Linked DNA regions of Rhinolophus ferrumequinum. The protein of the gene in region 2 purifies or fractionates together with the protein of the main gene of each other region. This does not show direct contact. Links are inferred from orthologs where the notes say so. Each region holds a gene or a part of one and is shown on either strand. Other genes may lie near its edges. The genes, in order: DYRK1B, PTGES3, SMYD2 and FKBP4.

Region 1 (7,960 bases), on a different chromosome or scaffold from region 2:
GTCGTCGTCATAACCGTGGTTCAGGACCTTCTTCTCCTTCTTGGTGCTTGAGTCCTGAGGGGGTGCCTGCTGGGCCCGCCGTTTCTTCTTCGCATAGTAGACCTGCCCGGCCGGCCAGCCAGGAGATGAGGACTGGTAAGTGAGCTGTGCCAGCAGCCAGGACCCCTCAGCACCCAACCTGGGCCCCCCACCCCAGCCCACCTCATTGATGTGCTTGTAGGTCTTGATGAGGTCCACGGAGAGCTTGCGCAGTGGGGCCGAGGTCGAATCCCGGAAGGCCAGGGGGAGCCTCCGCGGCAAGAGCCGCACATCAGGGAGTACCTGCTGGGCGGGGTGAGCGGTGGGCACTGAGGACAGACCTTCACCTCCAACCTCAGGGGGAGAACTATATGGGCAGCTGGTTCATTGTTACCACACGCATATTTATGTGGTCACTGTCTGACAACCCCACTAGCAGAGAAAGTCCCCAGGGGCAGAGGCTTTGTCCTGTTCTTGCTGTATCTCCGGGGCCGGGAGCAGAGCCTGGCACGTAGTGGATGATCACTAGAGATTGGCTGGGTAAATCATCACACACATTTACTCTTTCTGAAACTCAGTGTGAGAGCTCACATAGAAAACCTGGGCTCTGCTCCCCAATCTTTCGCCTGACACCATCCATTCTGGGTATCCCACCTTGAGGGCCCCCGTCTGGTTTTACCCTCATCCCCTGGGGATTTCCCAATGTTCACACCTCATTCTTTGCCCCGTTCTTTCACCTCAAGGGTCTTTTGCTCTGGATCCAGCACCCAGGACCTCCCACTCCAAACTGTATTTCCGAGCCTTAACATTCTCTCCCCTTGAAGATCTTCACCCTGTACCCGCAGGCCCTGCTGGCTCTGAGACCCTTCAGGCTCAACCTTCCTCCCCATTCACCCCCTCAGATCTTTCATTCTAGACTTTTTTTTTCTTAGTGAACATTTATTGTTTACTATGTGCCAGGCACTGTCCTCAGCATTTTACATGCATTTCATTAACCCGTTTAATCCTCACAACAACCCTGTGAGGTAGGTATCATTATTGCCCCCATTTTACAGATCAGAAAACTGAAGCATGGAGAACCTAAGTAATTTTACCACCAGTCTGGATTTGAACTCAGGCCCTCCAAACCCTGACTCTGCCAGCAGCTCTTCTATTATCTTCCACTCCCATGGGGCCCTTCATGCCCCTGGGAAACTGTCCTGGGCAATCATACTGTCTTTTGGCCCCAGCACCCTTCTATCCCCAGCCTCCCCCGACCCCAGGCAGGTGAGGAGCCAGCTGAACGCGTACCTGCGTGTGCTCCTGGGGCCCAGGGAAGCCAGAGAAGGGACCATGGCCCGGTGGAACGGCCATGGTGGGCTCAGAGGGCCGCAGGGGAGCGAGGCCTGGAGCGGGAGCCCGGCCGGGGGGCGCCTTCTCGCATCCTGCACCTCGGCTGCCACCGCCGCTGAGACCTGAGAGCAGGCGGGAGGCGGGGGAACAACACGGAACAGGGGATGTGTGGGACAATGCCAGGCAGGAAAGAGGTGAACATTAGAGGGCAGGGCACAAAGGGAGAAGGAAAGGGGTGCAGCAGAGCAACAGTTGACAATGCAGAGAGGGGACAGAGAGAAGTGGCCAGGTGAACGGTAGGGAAAGCACAGTGGAGTCCCTCAACAAATGATTACCAAATAAATGAGGTAGGCAGCACAAAGAGGGACATGTGAAAAGGAGTGATTAGGCGCAGGCAGGATATGGGTCATGACAGGAAAGGACAGAAAGACACCAACAATTGGGGGCAGGAAGAGAGGAGAAAGACAGAAACCACAGACAGTATAGGGAACAGGGTTCACTCCATTTCCACTTGCAGCCCTCCCCAGAGCCCCCTCACACACGATCCTGCCCTCCTGCAGTCTTCCTCGAAAGTAAGGGTGTCATCTCTTATCACAGCAAGGTCCCTCTGCTTCAAGATCTGCCTTCCCAGAAGACCTCCCAATCCAGAGAACTCTAGGGTATCCCCCAAACCACATGAGAGTCCTCTGTGCCCCTGCCAAACCATAGCAAAGTCCTCTGCAGGCCCCTAAAACCACATCAGGGTCCTTGGGGACTTCCTGACCACTGTTATCTGAGAACCCCTCCATATCAGACTCCTACCCCTATGGCCCTCTCACCCACAAGGGCACACCCTTCTATGCCAAGACCTCTTCTCCATATTATTCCCTCCCACCTCAGGGGCCACCCCTCCATCTAGTTTCTCCACACCATATTCCAGTTCCCTCGTGCCACAACGCAGCTCTCCCCGGTATTAGTCCAAGGCCCCCTCCCAGTCAAGGCCCACTCCTGATGGGCACAAAGGGGAAGCCGAGCGCCTCTTCCCACGGTTTAGTGATCGTCCTTCTCTCCCCTACACTGGATCCTGCCCACCTCCTCCCAATCCAGCATTCCTACCAGGGGCCTTTCTCCAGTCAGTCTGCTCCACTCCAGTCGATCCACAACTGTGCCCATTCCTCGAAGGCCCCCACAGCCAAATTCCCCAAATATCAGAGTTCTTTCCTCCCAGAGTATCTGCCACACCAAAATCCTCCCACAGGCCTTCCCTCCTGTCAGTCCTTTTCTTTTATGCCAAACCTTGCCACTCCACGACCCCTCCTCTCTCTTGGAGGCCCCCCCCCAAAACAATCTCTTTCCCGGGGCCCTCCCACACCAGGACCGTCTCTCCCAGTCCCCACCCCGTACCCGGGTCAGGGCTGGCGCGGGGCCCACGAGGGGCTGGGGCGCGGTGGGGCCCCCAGTGGGGTGGGCGAGCAGCCAGCATGGCGGCGGTGAGGAGACGGCCGCCTGTCCCGGCCCGGCCGGCCCGGCAAGCCCCGCAGCGGGGAGGGCAAGCGGGACAGGCGGCCCGGTGGGTGACAACAGCAGCAGCCGCCGCCGCCGCCGCTGGGGGAGGGAAAAGGAGGGGACGAGGGTCAGCCCGGGGCACGCGGGGGTAAGGAAAAGCAGGTGGACGGGGGAGGGGTGGGTTAACCCTCGCCCCGCCGGCCCCGCCCCGCGCAGCCACCCGCCCCCGGGGACACCGGCGGCCCGCCCCCCACCCTAGCGGCCCGCCCCGGCCCGCGGGGTCGGCCTGAACTTGGCAGTCCACACCTGCCATGGCAACAACCGTGCCATTGGTCGCTGCTGCGAAGAGCTCAACCAATCACAGTCCAGGGCTGCTGTTGCTAGGCAACGGCGATGCGGCCGGCAGAGCTGAGCCCAAACAAAGGGCGGGAGCGGGGCCCCGCTACCCCCTCCAAGGACAGCTCCCTAGGGCTCGGCCCCTTCCAGGAATCCGACTATGAATAGCCAGGCACGGCCTGCACCAGCCCGCCGCTCCCCTCCTCTCCTCCCTCGGCCTCGTGCTAACTCTCGCAGCGACGCGGGCAGGGCGGGTCCCGTACTGCTCCCCCTACCGCGAGCGCGAGCTGCGCGGTCCGTAGCCGCGTCGTTACCTGAGAGCGCGGGCAAGGGGACTCAAACTGCTCGGGAAGCCCGAGCTCAGACCTGCCAAGTGGCTGAAGGTATCTGGCGGACGCGGCGAGCCAGGGCCCTGATTACCCAGTAATGCAACCAGCAAAATGGCGACCACAACAAACCGGCCCCCCCCCCGCCCCAGGCTCCGCCCCCACAGCCCCATCTGCTCCCTCTCACGTGACCCAGGGCAACACTCCGCGCCTGCGCTCATCCGAGCTCACCGGCACATAAGCGCAGTGAGCTACCAACCCCTCCCAAGCGCCGAAGCCGGGTTACAGCGGTGCAAGAGGTAGCATGCGCTGTGTACCCGGATGAGAATGTCCACCCCCACACCGCGCAAGTCGACCAAGGGCGCCTGCGCCCTATTGTCACTAGAGGTCGCCAAGCAATCAGCTGACCAGACAGGAGCGACAGATGAGTCTTTTAATAGAAAAACACACGTGTAACAGTAGCAACACAATCTCTCACAATCCAGATGGGTTCTGGGCTTCAGTTCTTCACCTTGGGAGGTGGCCTGCGAGAAGAAGAATATAAGGAGCGTCACAGCTTGTCACCACTGTGCAGGCACTCCTAAGTACTGACCCGCGTGGCTCTGAGCGTAGGGGACAAATGTCTGTCCTGGCGGAATACTGGGTCTTCTGCTCACCTGTACACACCCACGACCACAGCGTGGTCTCTTTCGTATGGCTCTAGGGTTAACTGCTCCTGGGGCTTCATGTTCTCCTGTTGCATCTTTTTCACTTCAGAGGCAAACACTGCCTCCGCAGAGGCTGTGGAGTCAATGCAGTTGGCCTAGAGAGGAAAGAGGATTTGAAGTCTACAGCGAGGTTTTGGGTTATTTTATGTGTGTGTGTGCTCTTTAAACCGGAAGTATTTATTTTACTGGAAATGGTGAAACTCACTCAGGTTTTGGAAATTTTCAGTTTGGTCTAGATTTGGAAAAGGAAACCTTCAACAGAGCCCTATTTATTTAAATGTCAGTGTTTGAATTTTTTACTCGGGTTTTTTTTCCCCTTCTATTTCCTCTTCTCTAAAAGTAATAATGAAGCTGAGAATATGAAAACAAATGTAGCAGAAATCTTAACAAAATGGTGAATCTGGTGGAAGGGCACACAAGGAAGTTCACTGTATTTCAAAATGAAATGTTTTTTAACATGCACCTAGTATTTATCTAGTATTCTATACCAGGCTCTGTTCTAAACACTTCACATGTTGATAAATTTAATCCTTACATCAACACTAAAAAATAGGACTAATATTTCTATTTTACAAGTCTAGAAATAGGCACACAAGTAACTTATTCAAAGTGACAAAGCAAACTGGAATTTCAACTCAGATGGTCAGACTTGGTGATCGTGCACTTCCCCACTACATTCTATTGCCTCTTTAAATCCAAAGCTGCTAGTTTTGCAGAAATTTTTCATTATGTGCTATTTGGGGGCAGAGGATGACTTATAGGGAGAAGGGTTGGGATAGAGGCTGGGAATAGACTGGATTCGGAGGGATGGAGGCTCCCTTGCTTTGACTGGCTGCTTGGCAATTACTGATAGAAAAGATATGAAGCCCCGCACCTTAATGGAAATCACAAAGTGTCCTCCATTTCGTAGGAAGGTGTGGGCATTCAGGGCTACTATTCGGGTCTGGTCTGGCTGGGCCACATCGGCAAAGATCACATCTACCATTGCTAGGGAGAAAAAAGTGGAAGTTAAAAGCTGGGTCCACTGGATCTTCCCAGCTCCTCCCATGGGGCCTGTGCCCCGTCACCACTAGGTTCCTGGTAAAGTCTTTCCTGCCTCCAGTCTCACTTCCCCCCACTGACCCCCCTCCCTCCACGGTACCCCCAAGATAAACCAAAACCCACAATCACACCATTCATTCACGCCTCTTATAAACCATGGTTGCCACCTACTCTGTGGCCAGCCCCGGGCCGGGCGTGGGGGACAGAGAGACGAGTCAGACCCGGACCCTGCCCTCGAGACGCTCCCGGGTCTGGGGGGGAGACAGACACGTCATCAAAAAGGCAAGTAAAGATGAGCACTTACAGGCAAGAGCGTCTGCAGGATTGTCAGATGAAAACAAGTTGCAGGACAAAGGGTGTGGTATGAGTGCATGGAAAAAAACTCAACAAAAGAAAAACCAGCAGAATGCAAAGTAGTATTTTTTAAGGCAGTGTGACTTAAAAAAAAAAAACTTAAAAAAATGAAAAGATGGTGTAAGGAAACTGACTTTTTAAATTGGGAAGAGCAGACATCAAACTGTTCATATAAATTACCTAGGGGTGATTTATAAAGCATTCCATTTTTACAATATGCTTCCGAAGTTTTTCAAAAAAACAGTCATTAATATTCACAATGGGCCGCTCCGAACCAGGCCACACTCAGTTTGTGCTTTCTGGGTTATAATCTCACCAGATGATGAGAAGAGGACTTTGGAGGGAGGCTTTTACACAAAGGCCAGGGGCAGTGTAAAAGCACCATTTTTTAGAGGGAGGTAGGAAGTATGGGGGCGCTAGGGAGAGGGGCAAGAGATCAGAGGAGAGAAGGCTGGCCCTCTGAGGGTGCCAGACATCTGAGACCCTGAACCAGGACCACCACCTTCACAACCTCACCTGGCTCCCCCCACCCTTTGCATTCCTGCAGACTCAAGAGGCCTGCTCATCCACTCCAATTCCATCCAAATCAGGGCTCTGGCAGCCTCTTCCAGGAAACCTGGAGTGACCTGTCCTACCCCACTTGGGCCAAACCCCAGACCCCTCACCGATGAGCATGCGGTATTTGTGGGGGTGCCGAGCATCTTCGATGACAGGAATAATATTGGTCCTTTTCTTGGCCAAGTTAATGAGGTCCCGGCCAGAGCGGTGGGAGAACTCAACTGCATAGACCAGACCATCCTAAAATAAATAATAACGAAGATACTAGTTCTCATGTGTGGAGCACCTACTTTGGGCCCATAAAATGCACGAAGCATCTCCTCAAACTCCCAAATCAAAACGCTACTTTTAACAACTATTGTTGCCATGTCCATTTTACAGATGAATAAACTGAGGTGCAGAGACTTCATGAAGTCCTTGGCCCAGGGTTATTCACTCCTGCTTTGCCTGATCTGAAAGCTCATGCCCCCAATACAGGCTTAAAACCAGGAAGCTAGGGCACAGAGATGAAGTCATAACAGCTAAGAATATTTGCAACAGGCCAGGTATTGCTCTAAGCACTTTATAGGAATTAACTCAATTATCTTCACAACAAACCTATTTACCCAGAGAGGTAAACTGAGGCTCAGAGAGGTTAAGTAACTTGCTGAAAGCCATGTTACTGTTAAATGCCTGCACTAGAGCCTGGGGTTTCTGACCACTAAATTACACAGCCTATAGTTATACAGATAAGCTAGGTGTCGTGAAGTGAGATGCACAGGTACCCTCTAAACAGGGAGCCTGTATAGCAAATGCTGGCCCAGAAATTGAAATCTCCTGTTCTTTCAAGAGAAACCAGACCACCAGACTTTGGGAGCATCACTTGTTTTAAACAGCAACCAAATCAAATAATCTGGTATCTGTACACTCAGCTCTGGGTCCCTCTAACACAGGTTACTCCAATGCTCACGCCCCCCTCCCTCCGGGCCAAGAACTCAGGAATGAGGCTGAATGAGGCTTTGGAGAGCAGGCAGTTCAAGTACCTTTTACTAACAGGTACTCTGAGGAGGGCCTTGCTCCAAGCCATGCCGTGCAGGGCTTCTGGCTGGCAGAGGAGGTGGCCTTTCTCTCCCTCCCACCTTCCCACCAGCCCTTCCTCACCCTCCACCCCTGTTCACTCACTGGGCCTACGATGTCAGAGACATGAGAGACGGTGGTGCCCGACGCAGCCCCAAGGTAGAGCACTTTGGCCCCTGGCTTGATGTGAATCTGGTCCACGCCTCCCAGGATCGCGGCGGCCAGCTTAGAGCGGAAGGGGTTCCAGGCGCGGTACTCGATTTTGTCATCTCCCTCCTGGGCAGGAAGAGATGGGGATGGAACTCAGTGCCAGACTCTCCTGTGAGACCCCACTGCCCTTAACTCTAGGGCCCTCAAAGGGATGGGTGCGCAATCACTGTACAAGAGACAAATGTGGACAGATATCAGTGCCTGCCCTCTCATGGAGGTTACTGACTCAGGGAGAAGGGGCAGCGACAGATAATAAACAGGTAAGATCGTACCAGACAGTGGCAAGATGTATGCATTCATTCCACAAACATTTATGGTGTCAGCACATACTATGTACAGACACTACGGTAGGCACTGGGGATACACAGTGACGGCGACAAGAGATCCCTCCCCTCAAGGAGTAAGTATATATACACTGAACTGATTCACACCATGTACAACACAGTAGCCAGTGACAGGTGCTGAGGAGAAAAGATCAAGCCAGGGAGAAGAGAAATGTGGGAGCAAGGTGAGAGACAGGTGATAATGAGAAAAGGG
Region 2 (7,314 bases):
CCTTGGTGTATCAGTGTCTCACAGCTGTGTTCATGTGGACGTGTGGCGGTGTCTTGCTGAGTGGCGTTCATTATTGTTCTGTGTTTTTGTGCACCGTCACAAGAATGTCTGAGCTTGAATTAGAGCAACCAACAAACATTTTTTGTTTTACAGGACTTTATTGGGGAACAGTGTGTACTTCCAGGACTTTTTCTAAGTCAAGTTGTTGTTCTTTCAATCTTATTTGTGGAGGGTACAGCTCAGCTCCAGGTCCAGTTGCCATTGTTAGTTGCAGGGGGTCCGCCCCCAGTTGAACCAGCAACCTTGTGGTTGAGAGGACACGCTCCAACCAACTGAGCCATCTGGGAGCTCAGCGGCAGCTCAGCTCAAGGTGCCATGTTCAATCTTAGTTGCAGGGGGCGCTGCCCACCATCCCTTGTGGGAGTCGAGGAATTGAACTGGCAACCTTGTGATTGAGAGCCCACTGGCCCATGTGGGAATTTAACCAGCAGCCTTTGGCGTTAAGAGAATGGAGCTCCAACCGCCTGAGATATTGGGCTGGCCAAGAACAAACATTAAATTCCTTGTTAAACTTGGCAAGAGTGTAAGTGAAATCAGGGACATGTCCAAGTTTATGGGGATAATTCCGTGAAGGAAACGGAGGTATACAAATGGATTAAACGTTTTTCTGAGGGGAGAGAACGCCTCATTGATGAAGAGCGGTCAGGGCAGGCAATAACTAGCAGAACTAACAAAAACATTGCAAAAATTCATCAAATTGTGCACCAAAATCACTGGCTGACTGTGAAAAACATAGCAGACCAAGTAAACATTGATAGACAAATAGTATCGGCGGCCGGTTAGCTCAGTTGGTTAGAGCGTGGTGCTCTTAACAAGGTTGCTCTTTCGATCCCCACATGGGCCACTTGTGAGCTGCGCCCTCCACAACTAGACTGAAACAACTACTTGGCTTGGAGCTGATGGGTCCTGGGAAAAACACACTTAAATAAATAAAAGTTTAAAAAGAAACAGTTAGGAAAATCTTAACTGAAAATCTTGGCATGAGAAAGGTGTGTGCTAAAATGGTCCCAAAGGAGCTCACTGATGAATAAAAGCAAAGGAGAGTTGAAGTTTGCCAAGACCTTTTGGAGAGGCAAGACGATGTTTTGGGCTGTGTTATCACTGGTGATGGAACATGGGTGTACCAATACGACCCTGAAACAAAGTGTCAACGTGCACAATGGAAGTCAGACCATTCTCTGCTACCAAAAAAGTTCTGTCAGTCCAAATGAAGAATCGAAACGATGTTGCTAACCTTTTTTGATATCAGAGGGATTATTCATTATGAATTTGTACCAACTGGACAAACAGCTAACCAAGTGTACTATTTGGAAGTGCTAAAAAAATTGCGTGAAAAAGTTAGACGAAAACAACCTGAACTTTTTGCCAACAATTCATGGTTCTGCATTATGACAATGCACCAGCTCACATGGCACTGTCTGTGAGGGAGTTTTTAGCCAGTAAACAAATAACTGTATTGGATACAGTTAACCTCCCTAACTCACCTAATCTGGCCCCCAATGACTTCTTTACCTCAAGATAAAGCAAATATTGAAAGGAAGACATTTTGATGATATTCAGGATATAGGGTAATATGACAACTCTGATGGCCATTCCGGAGAGTTCCAAAATTGCTTTGAAGGGTGGACTGGGCGCTGGCATTGGTGTATAGATTCCCAAGGGGAATACTTCGAAGGTGACTGTAGTGATATTCAGCAATGAGGTATATAGCACTTTTTCTAGGATGAGTTTGCGAACTTAAGTGTCAGACCTCATACATGTTTGAATCTAGATTTGGGGCCCTACTAGAAACAGAACTTGTTAGTGAATGTGAAAAAACAAAAACAAGAACCTGGTACAACTTGGGTCCCCACCAGCTAATGGTTGTGATAACATGCAAAGCCATGGATAAACCTGATAACTACAGTATTTGTGCAACTTCTGGGTGAGTAGCCATTTCCAGAGTTACACTAACATGAACCCACTTGAAATATGCCCAACAGGGGTATACAATATGAATTCGGAAGCAACAGGTCTGAATTTTCAAAAACTTCTTTTCTGAAAGCCAGTTTTTGGGGCCCGCCCAGTGGCTCAGGCGGTTAGAGCTCCATGCTCCTAACTCCGAAGGCTGCTGGTTCGATTCTCACATGGGCCAGTGGGCTCTCAACCACAAGGTTGCCAGTTCAATTCTTCGAGTCCCGCAAGGGATGGTGGGCAGCACCCCCTGCAACTAAAATTGAACACGGCACCTTGAGCTGAGCTGCCTTTCAGATGGCTCAGTTGGTTGGAGCGCATCCTCTCAACCACAAAGTTGCCGGTTTGACTCCCACAAGGGATGTTGGGGGTGCGCCCACTGCAACTAAGATTGAGCTGAGCTGCCGCTGAGCTCCCAGATGGCTCAGTTGGTTGGAATGTGTCCTCTCAACCACAAGGTTGCCGGTTCGACTCCCGCAAGGGATGGTGGGCTGTGCCCCCTGCAACTAGCAACGGCAACTGGACCTGGAGCTAAGCTGTGCCCTCCACAACTAAGACTGAAAGGACAACAACTTGAAGCTGAACGGCACCCTCTACAACTAAGATTGAAAGGACAACCACTTGACTTGGAAAAAAAAGTCCTGGAAGTACACACTGTTCCCCAATAAAGTCCTGTTCCCTTGCCCCAATAAAATCTTTAAAAAAAAGTTTATAAAAAAAAAAATTTAAAACATGATTCTCCCACAAATATAAAATTAACGTGAGCCAGACATTTAACTTATTGACAGAACCAGTAAGATGGTAAAGCTGGTTCCAGGAGCATTTAAGGAAGTAGGTATTTATAGGCATAAAAATAAATAGAATAAGGTAATAAGTTAAAGGAAACTGTCTTACAGAGCAACAAAACCGTAACTTTGGGGTTAGCTTTTCTGTCAGTCAGAAGTCTACAACTTAACAAGTAACTTCACAATATTTGAGCTCCAATCATGTATTGAATAGCAAAGTCAAACGCAGGTATCTCCCTCCTAGAGACTAATCATTGGGCAAACAGGTTAAACCACATCCCTGTATGAACTGAAAGGTCATCCCTCTACTCCTTGCCTATTTCCATATTTTGGGTAATTTTTATTAAGGAGGCCTGTCCTAATTGTTCCAGTCAATATCGGTATCTCCTCCTTTCGACCTCTCCTCCTTTCATTCTCCCACTACTTTTTGTACTCCCATTATCCTGATTTGTGTATTTATTTCCCCTAACAGGCAGTAGGCTCCTTAGAATCACTATTTGAGAGCTGGGATTTAACTTTCCATTTTAACAGGATTTGGGCACAGGGTCCAGTTGTTCCCAATACCTGCCTTGCACAGCATAGACACTAAATCCTTTTTTAAAAAAATTTATTCTAAGTGTATTTTTCCAGGATCCATTAGCTCCAAATTAGGTAGTTATTTCAATAGAGCTGTGGAGGGCACGCAGCTCACGGGTGGCCCATGAGGGGATCAAACGCGCATCCTTAAGAGCACTGTGCTCTAACCCACCACCCAGGACACTGCTTAATGTTTAATATGAAACCCCCACTTTCTCCAAAAACGTCTTATAGCACTTTCCATAAACCTCCTTTGTATTCTACCTAGGGATGCACTGTATTTCTTCCTTACTCCATTGTTAAACGCGGCCTTCTGGAGTAGGCATGTACTGTTTTGATTCTTGGTTATTATCCTGCATTGCCCTGCACAAAGCCGCAGTGCACTTGGAGAGATCGGTTGAAAACAGATGGGGAACACTCTTCCCCAACTGATGTGCCTGGAGACACGACTGTTCTAGTCCATTCCACAAACCTTGGCTCTCCACTTAAATAATCTTCCTGTCTCACCTACAGTACTAATCTCTCGAAGCAGGGGCAAATGCTCGCCCCCCAATGGCAAACGTTCCTCCTCAAAGGCCTCAAATTTCTGTTGCCCCTGGGCAGGGTCTCCAATCTTCAGAAAAATGGCGAAGTGGACCGAGGCCCTCGAGTCTGAAGTTAGCCCTTTTTCGCAAGTATCACCAGCGAAAGGCGCTCTTTTCAAATCTTTATGCGGTGGACGTATCCTTAGTGAGCTGATGGGGTTCCCTCCACAGTAACCAATCCCCCATTTCACTTTCCAAGCCTCCCGCCTCCGTGCGTCCCTCCACCTCAACCTTCCTCCCGCTGTCAACGCATCAGTCTCCCGGGTAGGTCGCCCAACGCGCGTGGCAAGGCAGTTAGGTGGCCAACGGTTTTCTAACGCGAGAAGGGAGCGCGGGAGGAGAGGCGGGAACAAGTCAGGCCGGAGGGCGGGGGCGAAGGGCGGGGCTTGCGCCGGGAAGGATCGCGAACGAGCTGGGAGGCCCCGCCCTTTCCGTAGATATCTCTAGAAAGCCGGGCCGGAGCCTGAAAACAAAGAGTGCGCAGGCGCGGCGGCAGGGCCCGGGCATTTTGCTGCGTCACCAGCCGCCGCCCGGCCTCACCAGCCCTCGCTCGCACGCACGCACGTTCATTCTCCGTCCTCGCGTCCCTTTTCCTACACTTTCCTCTTCTCCCCGACCGGAGGAGCCGCTCTGTCCGCGCGGTGCATTCTGGGGACCCAGGTCGAACCCTCCGCCGCCCTCGTCTGAGAGAAGCGAGAAGAGGCCGCACCGGGGAGAAAACGCCGGAGTCGGCACCGGAGAGGAGTCGATTGCCCAGCAGCTGCCACCGGAGAGGCCCGCCCACCCGTTTACCCGTCCCCCTGCCCCGTTCACGATGTGAGTGCGACACCCGCCAAGGGATGGTCGCCCCAGAGGGAGGCCGAGGCCACGCTGGGGGTTGCCGGAAAGCGCCCCCTCTCCTTCCCCGCTTTCGGCCCCTCAGTTTTCTCCCCTCCGTGGTGGCAGTCGTTCTTGCCTAGGGGTGGGAGGTCCAGTATCCTTTTTCCGGTTACCGTTGGCGGGTGGAGGACATTTTTCCTCCAGATGTCCGCTTCCCCCACCTCTAAACCGTCCTTCAGCTTCCCATGCCGGAAATCCCACTTTTTTCCCCTGGGCTGTTCGGGTCGCTCCTAACTCTCCGGAACTTAGCTGTAGGCCTTAATCTCCTGTGAGCTTTTTGCCATGCGGCGCCCTGGAGGCGTGGACCGTCTTGGATTGCTACTTCGTTTCTTGGGCGTTCTGGTTCTGCCGCTCTCAGATGCCGGTCCTGGGCCAAGTGCACCTGTGGTGGGTGCTACCAGAGGCCGGTGGTGCTCCTCGTAGAGCACCACGCGGCCCTCCACCGTGAGCGACAAGGGACTGCTAGGCAACCGGAGGGAGGCCAAATCGTCACCACAACTCATTTCTCACGGGTGCCGTGATTTCGCGAGTGGGCGGGGGGCTTTCCAGGCCGCCTCCTAGCTCCGGTCTCTCGAAGAGAGTGAAGGTTGCCTAAACTCAGTCGTGTCCCTGGCAGCGAGGAGTTATACCATAGAACAGGTAGTTCTGCACGTGTCGAGTCGAAGGATAGTTGTGGACATTTTTCAGTGTTCTGTTAAACTTTGTGCGAGGTTTCATGATCCTATCTTAATTTAAGTTTGAAATAGGTATATAACTGCCTTGTTTTAAAGAACTTAAATGTGTTTACGTGGGGGTAACTACAGATTCTTTTTTTATGGTGTAGGAAAACCTTGGTGATTGTAACCGAGGAAGAATTCTTGGCACTGCCGCTTCCGCGCTTTCACATTCTCCTCAGGAAAAGTTTTTACCTTTTCAGATGTGAGAACTGCAGGTTTTATAGGTTTGGGGTTTTTTTGTTTTTTGTTTTTTAACTGCTCTCCTTTTTAACGGAGAGCAATAGAAGGGGAACAATTTTTATTCCTATAAAAAGTAATGCACTTTCAATTTCATTTAAAATAATAACTGACGGTGAGTATATTGGGCTAGAATTTTAAATGGAAAGGATACACTCTGAGTTGATGTCGGAGAACAAGCCTCTAGAAGAACACATGTATTACTGTAAAGGGGATATATTAGCATTTTGGAAGGATTTCCCCCTCTAAAAGTGGTATCTAATAGATTTTGATCTATGTAAAATAGCTTTTGTTTTTCCCTTTGAAATCTCTTCTAAACAATGTAGCAGGATTGTCAATCTTAAAATATGAGTACAAAATGAATACTCAGAGCATTACCAACTTTTAATAGACTAATGTAGCCAAATATATCTTTTCACAAAGAAATACCATATTTAGTATGGTTTGAAATAGAAGTTTTCTAGAGATCATATAAAATAAAGTAGGTAAGACACGTTATGTAAGTGGATTAAAAGTGTAACAACCAATACCAAAAGCCTTCTATGTAGTTTATAAGAATGCTACTTCAAAATGAGTGTTTTGAAGAGGCCAGATAATTTCATCCTCTTTAAAATATTCAGTATATGTCACCTTGCAAATTCTTTAGGGGATCTTACTGAACTAATAATGACTTGAATGAATTTACAAGGTGAATATTATGAGTCAGTTGCTTAGTTGCAAAAAAACATTTAATGGGTCATCCAGTCCTAGGAAGAATCTGTCTGATAATGGTCTGATAATCATTTTGTTGATGTCTGCTATAAAAATTTTTTTAGATATGGAGAGAGACATTTATGCTGGATATATTAAGGGTTTTAGGGTCTGTTTTTTCTTACTGAATTCTCTTTAGTAGCGATTTTGTAGGTAAGTTTCTTCTAATCAAATTTTTAAAGTTTTGTCTAGTAGTTTACATAAAAGCCATCAATCTCTCACCTACCTTGGAGATGGCTAGGATTTTAGGACCTCCCTTTGCCCATTTAAGACAAGCCCAGCCAAAGCCTCTGGGGGGTGGGGCGCGGGCACTACTTGTTTTTTTTTTTAAATTAGCTCTTGTTGGTTCTAATTCTAAATTGGACCATAACAATTGGACCCATAAACAATAGATACAAAGAAAATGTTTTATTAATTTTGAGCTATTTGAAGTCATTCTTTCTGGAGTCTGGTACTTAATAAATTGTCCAGAAACATACTGTGACTATTTAACATCGGTTAAAATCTTTCTTCCTTTGCCATCACTCCACTTTATAAGATTGAGACCCCAAAATAAAATCAGTCTTTAGCCTCCAAAACAGTTTGTAATAGTGAACATGTGCTAGATAGTTAATTTCTGTAAGTTAAGGAAGAGTAACTGATGATGGCCTTTGTTAAGTGTTGATTTCCTAACCACTGTAACTTGGCAACTGGATTTACTTTTTTCTTAGTTAGACTTTAACTAGAATGCAGTAGAAACTGGAATGGACAAATCACTTGAGTGCAGACCAGTGT
Region 3 (7,668 bases), on a different chromosome or scaffold from region 2:
GAGGGGCAGTAGAACCGCCCCTGGTGAAGGGTTTCAGGCAACAGTTAGCGACACTAACAAACAGTCATTCAGAAAATGGAGGAGGAAAGCAAATTTTGTCACACGTGGCAAGGTGATCTGCCAAGTTGCATCTGACTGTATATTAATGTTCTAAGGTTTGGGGGTATGTGGAGTAGACAGGAGATTCACAGCTAAAGAGAAGCTCTGAACCCAGAGGGATTTTGATTTGTAATTCACTGGAGGAGTGGACTTGTACTACCATCTGAGTACCTACTATGTACCTGGCACTGCAGTCTTCTTTCACACGATGGACTCCAGGAATCACCAGGATCCCTGATGAAGGGAGGGAGGCACCTTCTGTGACTGGTGACCCCGCTTTGCTCCTGCCACTCTAGACACCCACACTGCTTCAGACTCTGAGCCACAGCAAGGCTCAGAAGATCAAGGGGACCAGTCACAGCAGCCTTTTTAACTTTGGGAAAACCCAATGCTCACTTCACTCACATGTCGCAAAGTGGTGCCGTGACCCTTTAGCTCTTGGCTCACCAATTCAAAGAGCCACATCACATACAGCCCTTAAGCTGCCCACGGTATGATTCTGTGTCTAGTTCCTTTCCAGGTCCCCCCAAGCGGAAGATAGCTCTGGTAGGGAGTCTGGGCAAGATTACTATAGTATTTAGCTTTTGTCCCTTTTTTTTACTATGTCTTATTATGGAATAAGGTGCACAGGTCTCAGAGATAGAGTATTTCAGCGTATGCTGGACTTGAGACCTGTATTCAAAAGGTACCTGCAGGACATCAGCTTCACTTCATCTAGCCCAAGAATCTCCATTTCAAAGATAAAGAAACTGAGGTTCAAAGAAAGTACAGCAGGATCCATTCCTCAGAGAGTAGTGGAAGGCCAGGTACAGAGTTAATGCCAAAACCATGCTTCCTGCCTCACTAATTTTACCGAGCACCTAACTACGTGGAAAATGAACAGAATTGAAGAGACCAGATTTCATTCTCTTAACTGTAGGTGTGACTATGTATACACAGTTACACTTCCTCTCTGGGTATTAGTTTTCTTGCCTGTAAAATAGAGAGAGTGTTGCATTGGGAATTTCTTCTTCTTTTTTTTTTTTTTTTATATATTCCTTAGCTATTCCCTACATCTCCATGACTACTTTGTAACAACCAATTCGTACTTCTTTATCCCTTTTTCACCCATCCTCAACTGCTCTCTCATCTCCCCCCACCCCAGTCTGAACACCATCAAAATGTTCTCTGTATATATGACTTTGTTTCTGTTTTGTTTGTTTGTTTTGCTTTTTAGATTCCACCTTTAAGTGAAATCACATTGCATCTGTCTTTTGCTGTCTGACATACTTTACTCAGCATAATACCCTGCAGGTCCATCCATGCTGCCACAGTGGCAAGATCCGATTCCCTTCCCTGGCCGAGCAATATTCCGTTGTGTACATGTACCACCTACTCTTTATCCATTCATCCATCGATGGACTCCCAGGCTGCCTCCACATCTTGGCCATTGTAAACAATGCTGCAATGAAAATATGGATGCACACGTCTCCTCAAAGTAGCGTTTTGGGGTCTTCAGATAAATACCCAGAAGTGGGATTATGAGGTCCTACTTTGTCTCTTGTTGTAGCCTTTGTTTTAAAGTCTATTTTGTCTGGTATAAGTAGTTACCTTGTTTCCATTTTCATGCCATATCTTTTTCCATTCTTTTACTTTCAGACTGTGTGTGTCTTCTGACCTCGCATTAGTAATTTCTTTTTTTGTTTGTTTGTTTATAGTAGCTTTATTTGTAATTACACGTACTTTCAAACTGTAGGAGATTTATAGATGTAGACACTGATGGACATAGTATCAGTATTGTTCCTTAATCTAAGGATCCATGGGGTAATTTCTAATGTGCCTTTCAAGTCTAAAGCTATCATAAGACTTGAAGATATAATTGTGTTGATGTGAATAAATATGCATATATACGAACAGAGACACTTATACATGTCATATGCTACAATTAAATGCCACACATTTTGCCTAATCCCCTCAGCGACCATGTCTACCCAGTCCCAAAACTGGGCTGGATACATCCCATCAGTGCAGACCCTCAGAATCCCGGGGGTCTGGTACCGCCCCTCTGGCTTCTCTCCAAAGTGCAGAGACTACGAAGGAAGAAGAGGGGCCATATACTTTACACGAAATGTTAAGTGTCATTAAGTTCCTTGAAGGAAACAGCAAATCTGCGGCAGGGCTGGGCTGTGGGGAACAGAACAAGCCGCAGGAAGCACATGTACCTGGAGCCCCCGCTGGCAAAGCAACGAGTGGGCAGCGCCTGGCCAGGCGTGGCACAAGCCTAGCTCTGAGCTCACGCTGGAGAGCAGGACTCTGCCCTCCCAGCTCCCAGGCAGGTACATCCTGCGTACGCAAGTCTGAAAACGTGCCATGCAGGCAGAGCATGCGGCGGGAACTTGCCTCCGGTTTCCTATCGCCGGTGGCTCAGCCCCGCGTGGGGTTAAAAAGCCCCGCCCGCCCCCCGTGGCCGCTGCCCCAGAGTCCGGCGCTAGGACCCTGCGCGCCGCGCGCACTTCCTCCCGCCGCGGTCCGAGCCGCGGCGCTGCGCCCCCGCTCCCGCCCGCCCGCCCGCCCGCCCGCCGATCGCCGCCTACCTGGCGAAGCAGTGTTCGCAGTGGTTGCCCCTCTCGTTGACCGTGAGCACGTAGGCGTAGGCCGGGCAGGAGAAGAGCAAGTCCCCCACCTGGAAGGGCTGCAGGGCCCGCAGCCCCCGGCCCTTGCCCGGGCTGCTGAAGCGCTCCAGGCCGCCGTATCCCTCGGCCCTCATGGTGGCGGCGAGGCGGGCGGGCTGGCTCGGAGGGGCGCCCGGCGCTGGCTGAGCCCGGAGCTGCGGCTCCCCGCGAGCTGTTATTGGAGAAGCGTCACCCAGAGCTGCGGGGGGCGGGGTGGGAAGCAGCCCGGCCGACGCGGCGGCGGCCACCGCTCCCCGGAAGGGACGACGGCCCCGCCCGGTCCTCGCGCGCCCCCGGCGGGACGGGGACAAGACCCGCGGTCCCGCCTCGAGCGCGGGACCCTCGGCGGCAGCCCCGAACGCGCTCGGGGCCGCTTCCGGTGTGGCCGCGACAAAGAGTTGCAGCCTTTGCGGCTCCTGGAAGGAGGACGTGAGACGTCTGCGCCTCCGCCGCGTCTCCACGGAGACAGCGGAACGCTGTCCCCCGTCCCGTGGGCAGGATAGGGTCGCCTACGGGGACAAGTATCCAAGGCGTCCCCTGGACAGTCGGCTTGGCCCATAGGATGACCTGTCCTTGGTAACTTGAAGGGGGCAAAGGTGGTTTTTAGCCTCATGTGCATGTGTCCTCGTCAGGGACCCTAGAAGGAGTCATCCGGGAACACGGAAGAGAAATGACAGTAGAAAAGTTTGATGTGCTGAGGATTTAAGGGTGGTTCCTTAAGTTTAAAGGTTTTTAAACTTTGCAGGGAGCCTCTCGAGTTTTGTTCGGTGTGAACATAATCATCCCTCTGCTCCTCTAGCGGGAGTTAATTACACGGACGGAAGAGGAAATGCACAGGGCCGCGGAGGTCAGACGCTGCCGAGGAAGCCAAGAGATAACCTTGCCTTCAAGGAACTTAAGCCGCTTGTTGGGGGCAAGGCCCTGCTGTGGCCAGAGTTGGACCACTCACTGACTGTCACGTTAGAAAAGTCAGGTTATGCGGCTCATAGAGGATGTTAACAGTGCTTGGCACATACGTCCTGTACACATGCGTGCTGTTGAGGTTGTTCCTATGAAAAAGGAGGACATACTCTGTGTGCCCATGGGCTTATGTGAAGGCTGAAGTTGACGTGCATTCAGTAAAGACTAAAAGCATAAAGAGAATAGAAAACACTTAAAACTCGTCTGTTCTCAAACTATGTTACCTGTGTAAGCTCAGGACTAGTTCAGCAAAAGGAAAGACGCATATGATTTGGGGTATGTCATAAGGTCCGTAGAATTGTTGACACTTAAGTGAAATTCCTAAAATGAATAAGCCTGTAAAGAAAAATACGTTAGGGATACGATTTCATTTATGCATTTAAGAAGCGTTCGCTGGGAGCTCCCACTATGTGCTAGTCACGAGGATAGAAAGTTGGACAAGATACAGGCCTGGGTCTTTGCATTCAACACATTCACATTCTAATAATTAACCATTAGTTATTGAGTATTATGGATCAGGCTTTGTGCTAAGTGCATGAAACACAGTATCTCATTTAATCTATAATAACAGCCACCCAATGAGTTAGGTGGTATGTCTCCCATTTCCAAAATTAGGCAACTAAGACGCAAAATAATCCCCAAGGCCACACAGTTAAGTTGCAGAGTTTGGTTTCACCTTCAGGTCAGTCTGAATTTGAGGCCCATGCACTCACCCCAAATGTCCTTTTGCAAACAAATACAGCTTACTAAGTGTTATGGTAGCTTGTACAAAGTGTTCTGTGGGAATACAGGCAGTGCATGACAAACTCAGCCTGGGGAGTGAGGGTTTGGTCTGAGCCTAAAGGATGGACGGGACTTTGCACCTGTAAGAGGAGAATGGTTTTCCAGCCAGAGAACAGCATGTACAGGCAGGGGGGCCTGAAAGAAGAGCATGTAAACGTACCCCTCCTCTCCCCCACCCCCGTGTGATTCTGAGTGGGACAGAGAGGGCAGGAGGTGAGGGGAACAGTGGAACGGCATCCTCTCATGGGGTGAATTTTGTCCCAGATGTGTGGGAGTCACTGAAAGTATTTAAACAGAGGGGTCCAGTGTTTTAGACTGAGTTCCCTGGCAGCTTTGCAGATAGACTGGCAGGAGAGAGGACTGAACACCAGCATGTAAGGGAACATGTCCAATATTTTAAATGGGAGATAAAGAAAGCCAGAATTAGGTAGTGGCATTAGGGAAAGAAGCAAAGGTATGTCAGAGTAATTCCAGTTTCTTGCTTGGCATATGGTCTCCATATGGGGAGATATAGGCAGGCAGATAACACAGAATGTTGGCTTGCTAACTATAGCCGGATCAATCTTATATGCTCGAGACAGGAACCATAAATATCCTAGAATTTTGGGACTGGAGGAAGCATTTTCTTACTAATGAGAAAAGTGAGACCCTGTGAATTTAAATAACTTGCCTAACAACCCAGGGGTGGGCAGAGCTAGCATGAGATTCCACCACATATTCATTCAACATTTAAACATTCATTACCTGTGTACTGTGTTCCAATGACAGTGATAAGGGCTGATGATATAATGGTAACAAAAACTGACTAATGACTTATTCTCTGCTCTCAGAGAGCTTTGTATGGTCTGGAGGAAGCAGACATTAATCACATATTCACACAAATACAAACTCAATGGTCTCAAGTGCTAAGGCAGTGCTTAGGGGATCTACACTAGTCTGGGAAAGCTTTCCAGAAAGTAATGCCTGAACTAAATCCAAAAGATGAACAGAATTCAATCAAGAGTAGGGGGGACAAGTATTCTGAGCAGAGGGAACAGCATGTGCAAAGTTCCATAGGTGTAATCTGTATGAAAGAGAGTGACTGGAGCAGAGCTAGAGGGAGAGTGATGTTTGAGATGGTTTTAGGAGGTAAGTAGTTCTCCTGGTTGGTCAAGCTACAGGATCTACTCTGACCAAACATCCTCCAACAGGTGCCAGACTACTCTAATAGATGAGCTTTATGCCAGTCATGCTGCTATCTAAAGCGATGCTGATTGTTGTGTTTTATTACAGATGGATATTATATGTTAATGAAAGAAATTTCTCAAACCTTAGAAGTTTCTGAATATGTGCCTACCTAGGCAAATCTTGGATAAATTTTTGGGTTCTATAGTTTTTTTTAACTTTCTGCTTTCTGGGGGCTCCAACCAGCACAAAGGTGAAAAGATGACATAAAAGTAAAGAAACAATTATAAACAGTACACACGTTACAAGGAGTAATTGTGCAAAGTAATCTCCTTGTTTACTTTTTTTATTGCAAGTACCTGATTTTTTCCCCTTTCATTAAGAAAGGTTTCCAACCGCTGAGAAAAACAATAGCGTGGTTACTGAGTTGTCTTTCCAGGTACGTGGTGACTGGAACAGACTTGTTCTTGTGGGTGAATCACGTATTCCTGTGATTTAAGAACAAGGGAAAAGAAACATACTCGTTTCAGAAAAATGCTTGTGCTGAACTCCAGTGACTAGACATGGGGAAATGGTCATGAAGCAACAGCTATGAATTGAGGAGCTTTAAATTATGAAGAAAACTGGGTTTAATATAAATGGCGAAGGAATGGCAACAAACCAGCCTGGGCAAACTGATGACAGCACTCTTGATTCAGTTCATGCTTGTCAGTCTGCCACGCCACATTCTCACATTCCGTGCAAGAGTAGGGACGCCTTCCAGCTGTCAGGGTCCCTCCATCTTTTCCTTCTGTCCCATGGCTTGGAAGGAATGGAGTTTGAATGGAGTTTTTTGGTCACCTCACTGTAGCTCAGGTGATACAAGGACAAAGGCCCCCTTTGCTTAATATCTCTAACCTAGAAATTGGTTTAATTCGTGAGTAAAATTTCCTTCCAATCACAGATTAGCACATGAAAGAAATATTAATAGCTCTGGCCTAGGGAAGTCAAGCCTTAACAAAGTGAAGTCCTGATAAACGTGGGCAATGGACCTATACCCTATACCGGCATACCTCTGCATGTATTTCAGTTATTGATTATAGATTATATGCTTAGGCTGTGGTAGACCCTTGTTCTACAAAGGTGAAAAGACCAACCTACATGCAAACAGTTATGTAGTAGCTGCTGAATGGCAACCAAAGGTATTAGGTCCCAATCCCTGGAACCTGTAAACGTTACTTTTCATGGTTTAAGAGAGTCTTGGAGATGTGTTCAATTGAGAATCTTGAGGTGGCATGATTACCCTGGTTTATCAGGGCTGGCCCTCAATGCAGTCACAAGTGTCCTGACAAGAGAGAGGCAGAGGAGATTTCACACAGACAGACAAGGAGGCAGCAGTGTTATCACAGGGCCAGAGTGGTGTACCCACTGACCAAGGAATGCAGATGGCCACCAGAAGCCGGAAGAGGCAAGTCACAGATTTTCCCTTAAGAGCCTCTGGAATGAGTGTGGCCCTGCCAACACCTTCAGTTCAGCCCATTGATGCTGATTTCAGACTTCCAGCCTCCAGAACCATAAGAGAATAAATATCTGTTGTAGTAAGCCATCCATTCTGGGGTAATTTGTCACAGCAGCCGTAGGAAACTAATATAAATTATAATACAATAGAAGTTTTAGTAGGAAGTCGAACAAAGTAGAGCAGAAAGGCTTCACAGAGGAACTGAAAGACTAGAAGGAAGATAAAGATTGACCAAGGGAAAGAAGGCCCCCCAAAATGGGTTTAAGATTCTGCAGGTGTAAATTCACTGAGGTAGAAGAGAACTTGACAATCCAGAGAATTCTTTTTCTTTAACAAACATTTCCATAGCTCTTCTGATGTACCAGGGCACTTTGTAAATATATACTCACTTAATTCTCCTCACCACATCTTGAAGATGAAGACCCCGAATCACTATGGTTAAATAACTTGTCCAAGAGAACAGTGGGGGTGGCACTGAAAGCGAGCTGTGTGTGACCCGTCCGTCCATGCTCT
Region 4 (7,260 bases), about 32 Mb from region 2:
GCTTCTAGAATTTTAAAAAGCAAAAATAAAAAGGAGACTATGTTTGTGACCATGGAATAGGCAAAGATTTTCTAAACAAGACACACAAAAAAACCTCTAACCAAAATTGGGCAGAAAGAAATAAAACTATCTTTAGTCACAGATGACATGATCATCCATGTATGAAATCCAAAATAACCAACAACAATAAAAAACTAATGGAATTAATAGGAATTATAGCAAGGTTGCAGGATAGAGATTTATATGCAAATCTTTGTATTTCCCATATACCAGCAATGAACAAGTGCAATTTGAAAGTAAAAACAGGATACCATTTACATTAGCACCCCCAAAATAAAATCTAATCTAACAAAGATATAAATCTAACATAATATGTACAAGATCTACATGAAGAAAAATACAAAACTCTGATGAAGGAGATCAAAGAACTAAATAAACGGGGAGAAAGTCCATTTTACTTGGATAGGAAGACTCAATATTGTCACACCATCAGTTCCTCCAAACTTGATCTATAGATTCAATGCAATCCCAATCAAAATCCCAGCAAATTATTTTGCAGATATCAACAAACTTCTAAAGCTTATATGAAGAGGCAAAAGACTCAGAATAGCAAACACAATACTGAAGGAGATAAACAAAGTTGGAGGATGGATATTACCAGACTTCAAGACTTACTACTATAAAGTGACAGCAATCAAGACAGTGTGGTTTTGGTGAAAGTATAGACAAATAGATCAGTGTCACAGAAAAGACAGGCCAGAAATAAGACTCATATAAATACAGTCAACTGAACTTTGACAAAGGAACAAAGGCAATACAATGGAGCCAACAAATGGTGCTGGAACAACTGGACATCCACAAGCAAAAAAATGCATCTAGACACAGACCTTACACCCTTGCCCAAGGACCTATGGGGTGTGTTCAATGACGAAGCTGAGATTTGAATCCAGGTAGACCCAATCCAGAGTCCATGAGCTTAATCTTTACACTATGCACGTCTCCACTGTGTGCAGGCCTCACATAAAGGTCTACTATTTTTCAAATGTATGAAAATGCAGCTGTCATCACTAAAATAAGTAAATAAATAAATGTTTCATGAAATGTATAGTAGCCGTTTTGGCCAGTGGTATAGTTTGTGTTTTCTTAGTAAACAGATACCAAACGTAGCAAGAAATTACGTAAGGATACTTACCATTTTTGGTATTACAGTTTTGACACAAATCATATTGGTAATGTTCTAATTCTTAGGTTGGGTGATATATTCCCAAGGTTCATTATGTTGGTATGTTACATAACATGTGTACTCGTATGTACATGCATATGCCTCACCTTCTTTTGAATGATTCAAATATTATATAATTTTTTACATGTTTAAGAGCACTGGTAGCCTAAGAAGGTCAAAATAGCAACTTTAAAAAAACAAGAGGGTCTTCATGTGTGAAGGACAGGCCCAGCATTAGGGAAGTGAACCAAATGAGCTCAGGAAGGCTCATTTTGGCAATAACAAAACTTCTAACCACAGCATGAGTCACCTACAGAGTAAGGTAGATGATTTAAAAAAAAAAAAAGTGTGTTATCTTTCTCTAGCAAAAGGGGAAAATTTCGGAACGATTTTGAATGTCTAGATGATACCAGTGAAAACAATTACATTGTTAAACATCTTTGATGAGAATACTAATTTAAATTAGTGTTAGGGCTGGGAAAGGGGTAAGGAAGAGGAGGGAAAGAACAAAACATCCATGCACTTTCTACATTGAATATGTGTAAGTTTTACAATCAGAAGACTATAACGTAAATAACCAGAAAAAAATTCTGGAAACAATAAGGTCCTGCTCAGAGATTCAAGAGCCCAATGCCTACTGTCCCTCTCCTCCCCCTTTCCCCTCCCAGCCCCTCATCTACTCACTCACTGAATGGGGACAGAACTTTCTCAGTGGAAACCCTTCCCTCTTGTCTTTCCCCTTTCCCTTCCACCCTATCTTCCCCCTCTCTCACAGACCTCTCTATTTTTAGCACTTTGTCCCTATCTCCACCATCACACTTATCACATGAGAATAATGACCATAATTTATTAACCACCCACTTGAAGGCGGGCATTGTGCTAGATACCTGACATACACATTCCTTCATCTTTAACCATCACCATCCTCATTGACAGACATTACTATCCCCAGAACCTGCCCCAAATCAAACAGTTAGCACGTGGGCGACCCAATTCTTTGTTTCCTCCAACACATATGCTCTTTCTACTGTTATTAAATTATGTGTTTATGCAATGGCAGGCACATCTTAAGTGCTCAATTAATGAGTGCTGGCAGGAATTAAAAGACATAGACCTATCCTGTTTGCTTCCAATAAAGAAAAAGATGCAGAAATCACTAATCTAAAGTTGAACCTTTTCTATCTCACCTTGTTATGCCAGTGGCCCTAGCATCAAAAGAAACTAGCACATGCTGAAAGCAAGTGCATAAACCAACAGCAAGATAACTGCCAAACCCACAAGCCACCACCTTACCCTCGATCCCTGACTCCTGGAGTTTTGGAGGGCCTCGGCACTGTTACTTCTTATCCTACTACGGAAAGTGTAGAAAAGAAATTGTTTTAACCCCTAGAGAGTCAATCCTCAATATCCTTTGAGGGTATCCTGTCATCTAATGAGAAACGTCTTTTTGTGGCTAAACTCATTTGCTGTAAATTGCTGGAGAAAATGGTTTTATTTCTTCAGCATCTCTTTCCAGTGAAATTCTATCAGAAAGGAGTATGATAAATTATCAAATTATGTTATGGTATTGAAGTTTCATCTGAACAGTCTTTTAATTACCTACCTAAATGGGACAGTTTGCCTATAAGAGCACAGTGCCGGGCGCATAGCGAGGGCTCCAAAAAATGTATTATTATTATTATTATTATTAATTATTGGAATACAAATGCATGTAGCCAATAATTATTTGATACCACTCACCAGGAACTATTCACCAGGAACAATGCTAAACTGGGGCTAAGTGCTGAGCAAAATTAAGACCCTCTCTACATGGATCCTTTTATCAAAAGGCTATTTTTTGGGAACTAGGTGTTGCTTTGACCCACTGCACAGATACTCTGCACTCCACAGGCAGTCAATAAACACTTAGGAACCAAATATTAAGAAGAAAATATATCTTCCCATGGGCCTTTAGTAAAATGTAATGACTTTTTTCATGAGTTGAAACCATTTTTTAAAATTTGTTATTTTTTTAGTTTCAGGTGTACAAAGCAACGGTAACAGTTAGACATTTAAACCCCTCATAAAGTGATAACCCATCCCACCCCCCAAGCTACTACCCTTGACATCTTATACAGCTGTTATAATACCATCGACTATCTTCCCTATGTTGTACTCCACATCCCGTGACTATATATACCTATATATTTAGTTATAGTTGGTATTTAGTGTTATTCTTCTTCAGCTCTTTCGGTGTATAGCACATTGGTCAGGCACGTTTTTTGTTTTTAAGTATCAGCCAAATCGACAGTTTTATTATTGTCGGGGAAGGTCCCTTTAATACGTGTCCCATTTAAGAACTCTTAGCGCAGCGAGTCATTTCTTGAATATCAGCTGCTCAGTAGCATTTTAAAGAACTGAAGGTGGCACATCTTCCCCGCTCTGGGGAAATCAAGACTGCTTTCGCCCAATTCTGTGCACTTGGGTAACCGCCACTCACTCACTGTCCCCCTATTCCGCCCCGCGAATTCCCTTCCCCTTTTTCTCCCCAATTCGGTAAGTGCACACGCGGAGTGAGCAGGGGGAGGCCATGCCGTCTGTTTACAGTCAGCTTTTATAAAAAATGCGCGCATCGGTCCCGGAGAGACCCACGCACTGCCACTTACATCCGGCTACACAGCTCTGAACAAACCACGCTGCGGGCTGCAATATATAGGGCGGATCTGGGTTGGCAGGCTAGGTACTGGAGTGATGTAGGGGCATCGAGAAGGATCTGGAAGAATCCGGTTAGACCGGGAACAGGGCGAGGGAGGGCCTGGGAGAACACGGGGCAGGGAGGGGCGGTCTCCAGAGTCCGAGGGTCCCAGGACTCGGGGGAGAGGGGCCAGGCAACCCGCAGAAGGAATGAACCAGAAATAGAAATTTTCATATAAGCGCCCTTGGCACTAGAGCCCGAACTAGATTAGCCGCCGCCGTCTCTAGAAACTTCTCCATCTCCACCCCTCCGTCCCTCGTTCCCGCTCCGACTCCTCCCAGCCCCTCCCTCCGCGGCGGGGTGGGACCAATCGCTCCCCCGGCCGCTCAGTACCCACCTACTCCGGCTCCCGCGCCGGACTCCGCTGCGGGCCGCGAGCGCACCGGGAGGCAGAGGGGCTCGAGCCTTGGACGGGTTCTCAGGTCTGCGGCCGTGGGGCCGGCGCACGCACCCCCGTGCAGAGAGGCCGGCGGCCGAGAGGGCTTGGCTCGTGCCCAGTGTCCAGCTCCCCGAGTAAACGGCGCACCGAGCGGCGATGACCGCTGAGGAGATGAAGGCGGCCGAGAGCGGGGCGCAGTCGGCACCCCTGCCCCTGGAGGGAGTGGACATCAGCCCCAAGCAGGATGAAGGAGTACTGAAGGTAAGGGCGAGGGGCGCCCGGGGAGCTCAGGGCCTGCTGGGGGCGGCCGAGCCCCGAGTGTCAATCGCAGCACTCTCCCGCCGAGCCTGGAAGCCCCGGACCGGGGAACGGGGCGGGGACCGCTGCCTCTGCAGCCTCCGGGACAGTTGTTGAGTGGTCCTGCAGCGGGCGGCCAGTTATGTCGCCTTCCTGAACTAGACTGCGTTTGGGAGCGAGAGAGCAGCCGCACGCTCGGAAAAGGGTGGCCTAGGTGCGCAGGCCTCCCCTTGGCCATTTTCCCGGCCCCCTTGAAAGCCTGTGTTCTGGGCTGAGACTCCCAGCCCCGGGGCACCCTCAGCCGTGTGGCGCCTGGGCCTGGGCAAGGGGCCGGGACTGCAACGCCAACTCCGGCGTGCGCGGTGCAGCGAGGAGGGGGGCGGGGGAGAGGGGAGGGAAGGGGCGCGGCGGCGCACGCGAGCTGCAGCTAGGGGGCCCGGGGCAGCGTGCACCCGGGGCCGGGCCTCCGCCGACGCCGCCCCTCCCTCACCTCTCTCCGACCCCGCGGGGGGGGCCAAGCTGCCAGCTCCTTCCCTGCCGGCAGCAGCGGGGAAGGTCCTGGGCCGCCTTCATCCCGGGTGGTGCGAGAGTTCGCCTATCCCTGACAGTTAAATATTAGCTAGGACCTGAAGTGGGTCTCAAGAGTAATTTCTTGGCCCAGAGGTCTGCGTGCAACTTTGGCGCCTGTCCTGGCCGCGAGGAAGGTTCTCGCGACCTCCGCCCTCTCGTTACCCCCTTTCTAAAGGCTGGGACTCAGCTAGGTCACTCGCTCAACCATGCTATCCCTCCTCCCCCCAGCCCCGGGAAAACCAGGGAGCGGTGCATGCCGGGACCTGTAGTTTCCATCGCACCTCGGCCCCCCCCTTTCTGATTTGGGGTGTGGGGTGCGGGGCCGAGAGGAGGTGCTTTGCTTGGGAGCTTGCTACTGTGTAACCGCCTGACTGCAAATAGCCAGAGGAGTGAAGGGGGAGGGGTCTGGGACTCAGGGAACAGGGCAACTTGACCTGGGTCAGGGCAACCAACTGGTTCAGAGCAGATTCTGCGGAGTCCAGGATGACGATGAAATCTCTGCCGGGATCTCATGCCCACTGCTCAACTCCACGTGTGTGTGTGACCTGGGCAAACTCAGGGAGCCTTTACCTGGTCCAGAAGTGCTTTGCCCCAATCTTGACATTTCAAGCTGTTCTCCCAATGGCGGTGTGGCTTCCCCTTCTCTCTGCAGTGTCAGGTGATTTCTACAAGGTTATCACCATCCTCCACTCTTTTCCCTTAACTTGACTCCTCAGTCCCCTGTCCATTCTATCATGGAAGCTTTCCTGAAGAGGGCAACGTCACACCTACCAGGTTGCACATGGAGTTTATCTTTTATAAATGCTGAGGGAGAGAAGCAGAAGCTTATAAGTTCCTAGGACTTACCTCACCTACCAGTCAGGAATGCTCATGTCCCAAGTGAGAGTTTGGGGTCTGATCGAGAGCCCTTGCGCTCATCTGTAACCTGGTGTATTCCTTTCCCTCTTTTTGAGTCTTCATTACTAGTACTCCTGATCTCCAAACTAGATCTTAATCTGATGACCACTGGCATTTAAGAAGAATGAGGAAACAGCATAAACAGTTCTCCCTGTGCAGCTGATAATAAATTTTACCGATTTAATCTTCCAACAGCTCTAAGAGGAATTATCATCACTACTTTACTAATAAGGTCTAGAGAGTTTGAATGACTTATCCACGATCATACAGCAAAAACTTGAACTTGGGTCTTTTGACTCCAGTTTTTCAAACCAAATCATGTCGCACCTCAAGAAAGACAGCGAGGTCAGTTGGCTTCTAGCCAAGTTCCATGTCAGAATCATTTGAGGATTGGTCCCTTGAATCTACTTACAAGGAGGCAGCAGAGTCCCTCTATGTTCCTGTCAGAGGCATGCAGGCAGTTTTGTGCCTCGTTCTATCCCCCTCCCTGGGTTCTCACCTTCTCCCCTTCCTCCAAGGTCATCAAGCGAGAGGGCACGGGCACAGAGATGCCCATGATTGGGGACCGAGTCTCAGTTCACTACACTGGCTGGCTGTTAGATGGCACCAAGTTTGACTCCAGTCTGGACCGCAAGGACAAATTCTGCTTTGACCTGGGAAAAGGTAGGCGTGGTTAGTGGCTTGGTAGGTAGACTGAGGAGAGCATACGCTGTCACAAGCAGAAACCATATTCTCAGAAGCTCACTGGAGGAGTGGTTTATAACAGTGTGTTACTTTTTTTTTCTTTTCTGTTATTCCTTTGTCTTGTAACAGTATTGATTTCTCTCATTTACCTGATCATCTCTAAATACCTCACTTCCTCTTCAGAAGTGGACTGCCTTGTTTCTTGAACTCCTTTGTTCCAGAATACAGTGATTATTATTATTATTATTATTATTATTATTATTATCATCTTTTTGAGACGTCTGAGACCTGACAGCACTTACTGTAACCAAGCTTCCTACCTTCCTGATCCCATTTCTAAAGCATGTCCCGCTTCCCTTCAGGCATAGTACTCCGGGACCACTGAGCCCAGAGTCAGAGCCCTACCAAGAAGGACCTGTTTGCTTTCTGTACCTACAGGGGAGGTCATCAAGGCTTGGGACATTGCCGTGGCAACCA

Evidence for each region.
Region 1: the proteins of PTGES3 (region 2) and DYRK1B purify together in Homo sapiens (affinity purification with mass spectrometry; 3 studies listed by BioGRID and IntAct, with this or other methods). This does not show direct contact. The link is inferred for Rhinolophus ferrumequinum from reciprocal best matches to the Homo sapiens genes PTGES3 and DYRK1B.
Region 3: the proteins of PTGES3 (region 2) and SMYD2 purify together in Homo sapiens (affinity purification with mass spectrometry; 3 studies listed by BioGRID and IntAct, with this or other methods). This does not show direct contact. The link is inferred for Rhinolophus ferrumequinum from reciprocal best matches to the Homo sapiens genes PTGES3 and SMYD2.
Region 4: the proteins of PTGES3 (region 2) and FKBP4 purify together in Homo sapiens (affinity purification with mass spectrometry; 3 studies listed by BioGRID and IntAct, with this or other methods). This does not show direct contact. The link is inferred for Rhinolophus ferrumequinum from reciprocal best matches to the Homo sapiens genes PTGES3 and FKBP4.

Annotation. Positions count from the first base shown.
Region 1 is NC_046298.1:38,800,066-38,808,025, forward strand, and holds the start of DYRK1B (dual specificity tyrosine-phosphorylation-regulated kinase 1B), read right to left. Parts: upstream 3,016-7,960; 5' UTR 2,813-3,015; coding exon 2,734-2,812; intron 1,473-2,733; coding exon 1,309-1,472; intron 325-1,308; coding exon 202-324; intron 103-201; coding exon 1-102. Other genes in the region: FBL (rRNA 2'-O-methyltransferase fibrillarin), read right to left, coding at 3,997-4,021, 4,154-4,299, 5,079-5,191, 6,265-6,397, 7,319-7,489.
Region 2 is NC_046293.1:55,858,965-55,866,278, reverse strand, and holds the start of PTGES3 (prostaglandin E synthase 3), read left to right. Parts: upstream 1-4,296; 5' UTR 4,297-4,772; coding exon 4,773-4,774; intron 4,775-7,314. UniProt on the Homo sapiens protein: Cytosolic prostaglandin synthase that catalyzes the oxidoreduction of prostaglandin endoperoxide H2 (PGH2) to prostaglandin E2 (PGE2).
Region 3 is NC_046305.1:18,452,925-18,460,592, forward strand, and holds the start of SMYD2 (N-lysine methyltransferase SMYD2), read right to left. Parts: upstream 3,009-7,668; 5' UTR 2,846-3,008; coding exon 2,673-2,845; intron 1-2,672. UniProt on the Homo sapiens protein: Protein-lysine N-methyltransferase that methylates both histones and non-histone proteins, including p53/TP53 and RB1. Specifically trimethylates histone H3 'Lys-4' (H3K4me3) in vivo. The activity requires interaction with HSP90alpha.
Region 4 is NC_046293.1:87,936,791-87,944,050, reverse strand, and holds the start of FKBP4 (peptidyl-prolyl cis-trans isomerase FKBP4), read left to right. Parts: upstream 1-4,243; 5' UTR 4,244-4,491; coding exon 4,492-4,596; intron 4,597-6,617; coding exon 6,618-6,762; intron 6,763-7,221; coding exon 7,222-7,260. UniProt on the Homo sapiens protein: Immunophilin protein with PPIase and co-chaperone activities. Component of steroid receptors heterocomplexes through interaction with heat-shock protein 90 (HSP90).